2 linked regions of the Stegostoma tigrinum genome follow. The protein of the gene in region 1 purifies or fractionates together with the protein of each later gene. This does not show direct contact. Links are inferred from orthologs where the notes say so. Each region holds a gene or a part of one and is shown on either strand. Other genes may lie near its edges. The genes, in order: zeb2b and mta2.

What was found.
Region 2: the proteins of zeb2b (region 1) and mta2 purify together in Homo sapiens (affinity purification with western blotting; 3 studies listed by BioGRID and IntAct, with this or other methods). This does not show direct contact. The link is inferred for Stegostoma tigrinum from reciprocal best matches to the Homo sapiens genes ZEB2 and MTA2.

The regions. Positions count from the first base shown.
Region 1 is NC_081360.1:80,650,413-80,654,323, forward strand, and holds the start of zeb2b (zinc finger E-box-binding homeobox 2b), read right to left. Parts: upstream 2,529-3,911; 5' UTR 1,915-2,528; intron 381-1,914; exon of another isoform or gene 203-380; intron 1-202. UniProt on the Homo sapiens protein: Transcriptional inhibitor that binds to DNA sequence 5'-CACCT-3' in different promoters. Represses transcription of E-cadherin. Represses expression of MEOX2.
Region 2 is NC_081395.1:3,149,526-3,153,436, reverse strand, and holds the start of mta2 (metastasis-associated protein MTA2), read right to left. Parts: upstream 2,362-3,911; 5' UTR 2,278-2,361; coding exon 2,250-2,277; intron 1-2,249. UniProt on the Homo sapiens protein: May function as a transcriptional coregulator. Acts as a component of the histone deacetylase NuRD complex which participates in the remodeling of chromatin.

The sequences.
Region 1 (3,911 bases):
AGACAGCTGAGGCTCAGACCACCGTCATCTGTTTCTTTTTCATGTTTTTTTTAAAGAGACAAAACAAGGCGATTGTTTCCTCCTCTCACCCTCCTCCTCCCCCCCTCCCTTCCACCACCCTCCACTCCAACCTCCGGGGGCTTGTTTTCTTGTTGACTTTTTTACTCTTTTGTTTGTCGGAGGGAAGGGAACGCTGACTTACGAGATGGGGGAAGAGGCGGAAAGCAGGACGTTCGATGGTACCGTTCGTTGGGCGTGAGGACCGGCATTGAACTGCTCTGCAGGACCTCTCAGAAAAAAAATGTTTGATTTTTATTCCTCCTGACTGTAGGAAACGTGGGATCGTTAAACTACAGCAACGTCTGCAAACTGAGGTGTTGAATGGCAAACTAACGGTGCCGGCTGAGATCAGACTCGGTGTCATCTATGCATTTCCGCCCTCTCTGGAATTTACACTTCTGCCTCTTTTTATTTACTTTTTCAAAACACTCCCCGTAAAAAAAACACAGCTATTACAAATCCTCATTTCACACACACACAAAACGCAAAGCATCAAACACCCGCGATGATTAAAGGTGATTCCGGCTCATGTAGGCAAAGTGTAACTGTGATATGACATGATTGTGGTAATTCCCCCAAATTTACAGATGTCCTTTTTCAAAAAAAAATTTTAAAAAATTAAAGGACACACACAACTGATTTACGCCAGGCAAACCAGGGCAGGAAATGATCATTTTATAAACGTTTTGTTGTGAATTCAAACCGAAACGAAAAATGGGGGTGGGGGGGGCCAGTCCAGGCGCTGTTCCAAAAAAAAGGTTCGCATCAAACAAGCGGCCAGCGCACACAAACTATACGTTCAATGTGCAGATATTTACTCCTGTTCCTGGTAGATATGAAAGTCCGACCGCAATCCACATTAATTAAAAAAACGCATACAGCAACAAAGAGTATAAGATCACTCAAAAAATGGCCAGTCTGACTAAGCTTATGTAATAAATTCACATAAGCGACCAAGCATGTCATAGTGAAAAATGCCATCAGTGTGCCACACACAACTGCACTTTTTTACTTATTTCAGTGAAAGGGGGAAATAAGCAATTACGGCTGCTCCTACACAATGAAGTACACTTGAAACATCGCCCGGTCCCTTGAATTCTGGGCAGAAAACACTTAGCCATAAACTCGCCTTCAACACGAACCCCACCTTTCACTTTTCTTTTGCCATTCTAATTGAATTTTGTCAGCCGCCACCACCTTCCCCCTCCCACCAGTCCATAAGTTCGCAGTTTTCCTTTCCTTAAAGCTGAGAGTCCAACACACACACACACACACACACACAAAAGTGGAAGCACCACTCAGTTCAAAATACGATTCAAAGTTTTGGCAACAAACGTATTCACAGCGAACTGGGGACGCGGACTGTTTCACTCGGTTGTATATTTACAAACCGCGTCCCCTTTTCTGAAATCAATCGTTTAGAATTAAGAAACATCTATCGATTTTGTCTAATCTCTCGAAATTTCCGATCTACATTGGAGCTGCAATGAGGGGCAAACACATTGTAAGGCGCTGTCTCTGCAGGTAACGGTTCCTTTCAATAACCTATTGCTCACTAAAAATAACATAAAATCACAAAACCAGAAACACGCGTCCTGGAAGGAAAATTAAAAACTGACATTTTAGTGCGAAGATTCATATCAGTTAACGGGCATGTTTCATTTTGCCCCCTTTCAGCACCTTTTTCTAACACCTGGATGTCAGGTACTTGAACAAAGTTTTGCGCCTAAAATGCAGGCAGGATCAGAGAGGGGTCGGCTGGGAAAAAAATCTCTAAAGTTCATCTCCACTCGCGCAACAATACCTGCGCACAAAATCTCAATCTGTAAATAGATAGATAAATGTTTAAAATACCTGCTCTGTCCTGGCTCTGTTGTTCAGTAAGACTGCTGGGAGGTCGACAGCGTGCAGATAAAGGAACATGAAGATCAAGGCGAGATTTTTGTTTAAAAGGAAAGGGAAAAGAAGAAACCCTTAAAGACTTGAGGAAGGACCGTTATTCCTGCTGTGCAGGTTAGAACTGATCGCTCCGTTGTCTCTCACACCAGGAAACACAACCTGTGGACGGACTGACGTGTTCCGCTTGTTGGAATGACATTTTTCTATAAAGAGAGTCCCTGAAGTGCGGCCCCAGAAACGCACGCCACCTATCTTCGTGGTAAGGGATAATTGAAGATCCGTAAACGTGATCATCGGTAGATGTGACGTTTTCAAACATTTTTCTCCCTCTCTCTCCCTCTGAGTGTCCAGTCCGAATCTGGATTAAATTACCTTTTCAATGCACAGCCATCAGCAGAGAGGACGGGGCAAGGGGGAAGGCTGGTGACCAGTGGGAATGCAGTTGCCTCTCTCCCTCGATCGACGTAATCCTGAAATGGCATTCTTACAGGGTTAGCTGTATCTGAATGTCCTGATCACACAGCCCCGCGCTGCTCAGTGAGTCAAAGCAAAAAACTCCAGTCCTTTCCAACTCCTATTCAATACACAGAGGCGAGGCAGCGGGAGAGCTGGATGCATCGCTATGTTCACCAGATGAGGCTGGCGTTCGGGATCAGTACCGGGGTTGATTCTTTTTTTTACAGATCACCTCTCCCCCCCCTCTACCCCGCTCCAAACGCACACATGTTTATTTCAATAACATTTATTATTTAACCGAAAGTTTGGGAGCTCGCGTCTTTTTTTGTTTGGCCAACTCCGTCCGAATCCTGAAATGTCCAACTTTTCAGCTCGTCTCCGACCCGACAGAATGCGACACTCGAAATAACCTCTTCACAAAAAAAAACTTTTATGGGTTTCTACCGTGGGAACTTTTGATTTTCAAGCAAAACGTGGGAGTCTTTTTAGGAATGGCCCTTGTAGACTGTTCTCTCCCAGTGTCTTGTGATTTGCAATTTAATTATCCTGATCTTTAAGGACTTGGTTTTAAACAGCAAACTCTTAAGATTATTCAAACCACCGTTCTGACCCTCTAACCCCAAGTAACCGATCTAAAAATGATGGGTGTGGGCATTGGGCGGTGTGAAACGCACTGGCGGCCAAAGGGTTAACGCATTAAGTTGACGAATTCACATGGGAAATAAAAGAATACCTGGTTTTAACTTAACCACGACCCACAAGGATGGGATTTCGTGAGGTTGTTGGGATGAAGCAGCGCATAGATTTGGGTTTATGGGGTGTGGTTGCCAAATGCCTTATGTTTGTAAGTGCTCATGTGCGTTTATCCGCGCCACTGTGTCTGTGCGCTTTTCCCCTACTTTTACTGACTGGTTGTACTTGTCCGAATATCTGCTTCTCACCGTTAGTCCAAAAAAGCTCAGCCTCCGCAATGCTACCATTGGCTCTGTCACAGCCCCAAGCGTTCTGACATGTCGCTAACTCCTGTTTGGTTAATTAAGTTTTCAATCAGCAGACAGAGGGTGATAAGACATCGGATTGATAATTCATCGAAGCCCGTCCTCTATTATCGCACGAATGGGAGGGACGCTGAGATCTTTTCCTAAGCATGTACAATTTATGAGATGTTGTGGTTTCTGTAACGAAATATAAGTGAGCTCCCTAGAGATCTGAAAAAGTCTTGATTCCCGAGATGTCTCTTTTTTAACTCCTGTAATTATTTCAACATCAATGGTTAAGGGTAGCTCAAGCTGCTTCGTTATAACGACTGGATTTATAAATTGTTTGAACAAAATGACCTGGTTAAGGGGGATTCTGTCGAAATGTAAACCAAGTTTATGGAGTTTCACAGCAAAATCTCCTCCATTCCTGTCCGAGGGAAGTTCTGTGCTCACTGCCAAAAGTTTATCCAAAGCTGAAGCCAGAAATCATTCTATTTTTTTCAATATAAGAATTCG
Region 2 (3,911 bases), on another chromosome or scaffold:
AACCTTTCAAAAGTCAACCTCAGTTCACAAAACTTACAAACTACACCTCCACATGCTCCCCAACCCCCAAACACAGTGGTCATGGAGTTGTATGGCTCTGGCTTGATACATCCTTGATTCTTTTTAGCTCTTACTCCACACAACATCAGAGCCTTTTTGATCCACTGATCTTTAAACCTTGAAATGTTCCTTCCTTCCATTTTATCCCTGACTGTATGTTATTATTCCCACCCCAAAATGACTGCTGTTGCCTCTATCCTGACTCATCTCGACTTTCATTCCAGCAGTTTCACCTCTTTCCTCAGCTTGCCCGCATGTTGTAAGAATTTCACGTATACATTTGTCAGTTTTAGCCTCTAATCTCTGGCTTTTATTTCATATTTCCTGATTGCTGCTTATCACTGAGAACCCAACTCTCCTTGTGCCAGGTCTATCCCAATGAGGTATACAACTAAACATGCCCACCAAACCCCCTCCCCCAACCTGAACTTCTGCCAAAATCTACAAAAATCTGACAACATACCCCCACCTCCAAACCCCTTTTTGACTATTACCTAATTTTATTTGGCAAGTATTCTTGTGTTTGAAATCCTTCTTTAGCTTATCATACAAATTTTGTCATTATGCCATCCTTATTTCAATTTCAAATATTTGTTCAGCACCTTTACATGCTGACCCTCTTTTTAATGTTTCCTGACCACAGAGCCCTCCACTGATCCCTAAACACTGACTTACTCCTAACTTTAATCATAAGCCCACAACTTAATCATCACCTCCACCTCCAAACTTGAGTGCACCTCTCATCTTGGACTGCCCTCGCCCTGGTCTCTGGCCTCAGTTTGTCCCTCACCTCAGTCCCCAAATGTTCACCCTTTATTGTGATCCCAAAGCTCCGAAATCACTTCTCGCCCCCATTCCCAAACACTGACTTGTCCGTCTCATAATCACTGGACATTTTACTCTTTTTTCTTATCATTAGTTAATGGGATGAGGGTGTCACTGACCAGGCAGTATTTATTGCCTATCCCTAAATGCTCAGTGGGCAGTTAAGAGTCAACCACATTGTTGTGGGTCTGGAGTCACATTTAGGCCAGACCGGGTAAGGCTGGCAGTTTACTTCTTTTAAGAAAATTAGTGAATTAGATGGGTTTTCCCAACAATCAACAATGGATTCATGGTCGTTAGATTCTTAATTCCAGATATTTTTAACTGAATTCAAATTCCACCATCTGCCATGGCAGGATTCGAACCCAGGTCCCAGGAATGTTATCCAGGGTCTCTGGATTAACAGTCCAGTGACAATACCACTTGTCCATTGCCTCTCCATTCACTTGTCTGATCTCTAAACAAGAATTCCGCACGTGTCCCAATCCTTGACCCACTAAGCCACCACTTATCCCTTGGCCTGATCCCAAAACCCTACCTGAGCTCCCCCGCCCCATCCTGTCCCAGTTCAGACCTGGCTTGCCCTTCACACCCAACTACCCAAAATCTAAAATTCTGATTCAATTAACATCCCAACCCCCAAATCCTAGTTGCTTGTAATCTTATTTCTGGTGCCAGTTTGCCAATTGCCTTGATCCCCAAATCCCATGCTAACCTGTACCCCCAAAGCTCTGTTAACACCTGGCCCCTGTTTTGGGCCTCGGTTTGCAGTTCACCCCAGATTTTGGCCACTCACCCTAGCCTCTGCCCCAGTGGGCTTTTTAGCCCTGGTTTCTGTTTACCCTGCTTGTACCTTGCCCTTGTTTGTCCCATTGCCGAACCCCCGCCCATCCACAGCCCCTGTATGACCCTTCACCCCAACTACCTCAATCTGGCCATTGCCCCCAACCCACCACATTGCCCTATCCATGGGTCCTGTTTGGGCCCCCTAGCCCATCCCCCATGGCCCCTGGCTCCCAATAACCCACATGCCCAAGTCCCTGGCCACCACATTTCCCCCAACTGCCTCCACCCGCCCATGCCCCCTCGGCCTCTCAGCCCCTCTCCCCTACTTGCCGGCTGTAGTCTGAGCCCAAACCACCACCCCGCCACCTTGGTGCACTGATTCGAGCTGCTGTCTTCCTCTTCCATGTCTGCCTCTTGTTGTAAAGTTTGGCTTATAGCTGCTGCCTGGCACTTTGTTGTTTCTCAGGCTCTCTGTCCCCAGTCCCAGCCTCCCTCCTCCGGTGAGACACACACAGAGAGAGGCAGCGATGGCTGAGCGCCGGGCCGGCCACCCTCACTCACTCACTCAACTCACTCACCTCCCACTCTGTACATGTTGGCTGCCATGTCGCCCTCCCGGTCTCTCTCCCTGAGGCCGAGCTCCTCTCCCTGGCGGATCGCCGTCCCTCCCTCCCGGAGCAGACACGGGCAGACGGGCGGAGGGAGAGGGAGGTCTCTTCCTCCTCTTACTCCGGGCCCTCCTTCTCTGTCGAGGGGAAAGAGCGAACCCTCCCTCCCCCTCCCGGGCCAGCCCCTACCGGGGGAGGGAAGGAGGGGGGGAGGAGGGCAGTGCGCGGGCACGCGGCGGGGGACGAAGAGGGGAGGTAACGCGCAGTCACGCGGCAACGTGCTCGGACGGAATAAGCGCGGGCACGCGCCTGAGTGAAGCGAGCGTGCGCACTTGGGGTGAGCGCGAGCGCCCGACAGAGTGACGCGATGGTGCGCACTCGGAGTGAGCGCAGGCACGCGGCGGCGTGACGTTGCCCGGCGCGCAGTCGGGGGAGCGCGCGGCAGCCGGCGCGGAGGCGGGAATGTGCGCGAGGGACGTTTGGCGGTTGTCACCAGGACGCACGCGCGGGGCCGGCGACGGGAGTCACTCTTCCCCACCCTCCACCCCACCCAGTCCCAACCCCACCCCCACCCCACACCCCTAACTACCCCACCCAGTCCCAACTCCACCCACACCCCTCATCCACCCCACCCAGTCCCAACTCCACCCCCACCCCACACCCCACACCCCTCATCCACCCCACCCAGTCCCAACTCACCCCACCACCACCGCACCCAGTCGCAACTCCACTCACACACCCTCATCCACCCTACCCTGGTTCCAACTCCACCCCCACCCCTCACCACCCCACCCAGTCCCAGTCCCAACACCACCCCCACCCCACACCCCTCATCCACCCCACTCAGTCCCAACTCCAGCCCCACCCCTATTTGGTCCCAACTCCACCCCAGGCTCCCAATCCCACCCTGTCCCAACTCCACCCCACCTCTCACCCACCCCACCCCACATCCTTCATCCACCCCACCCAGTCCTAACTACACCCCCACCCCTCATCGACCCCACCCAGTCCCAACTCCACCCCACCTCTCACCCACCCCACCCCACATCCTTCATCCACCCCACCCAGTCCTAACTACACCCCCACCCCTCATCGACCCCACCCAGTCCCAACTCCACCCCCACCTCACATCCCTCACCCACCCCACCCAGTCCTAACTCCACCCCCACCCCACATCCCTCACCCACCCCACCCAGTCCCAACTCCACCCCCACCCCACACCCCTCACTACCCCACCCAGTCCCATCTCCACCCACACCCCTCATCCACCCCACCCAGTCCCATCTCCACCCACACCCCTCATCCACCCCACCCAGTCCCAACTCCACCCACACCCCTCATCCACCCCACGCAGTCCCAACTCCACCCCCACCCCACACCCCTCATCCACCCCACCCAGTCCCAACTCCACCCACACCCCTCATCCACCCCACCCAGTCCCATCTCCACCCCCACCACAAACCCCTCATCCACCCCACGCAGTCCCAACTCCACCCCCACCCCACACCCCTCATCCACCCCACCCAGTCGCAACACCACCCCCACCCCACATCCCTCAACCACCCCACCCAGTCTCATCTCCACCCCCCCAGACCCCTCATCAACCCCACAAGTCCCAACTCCAACCCACCA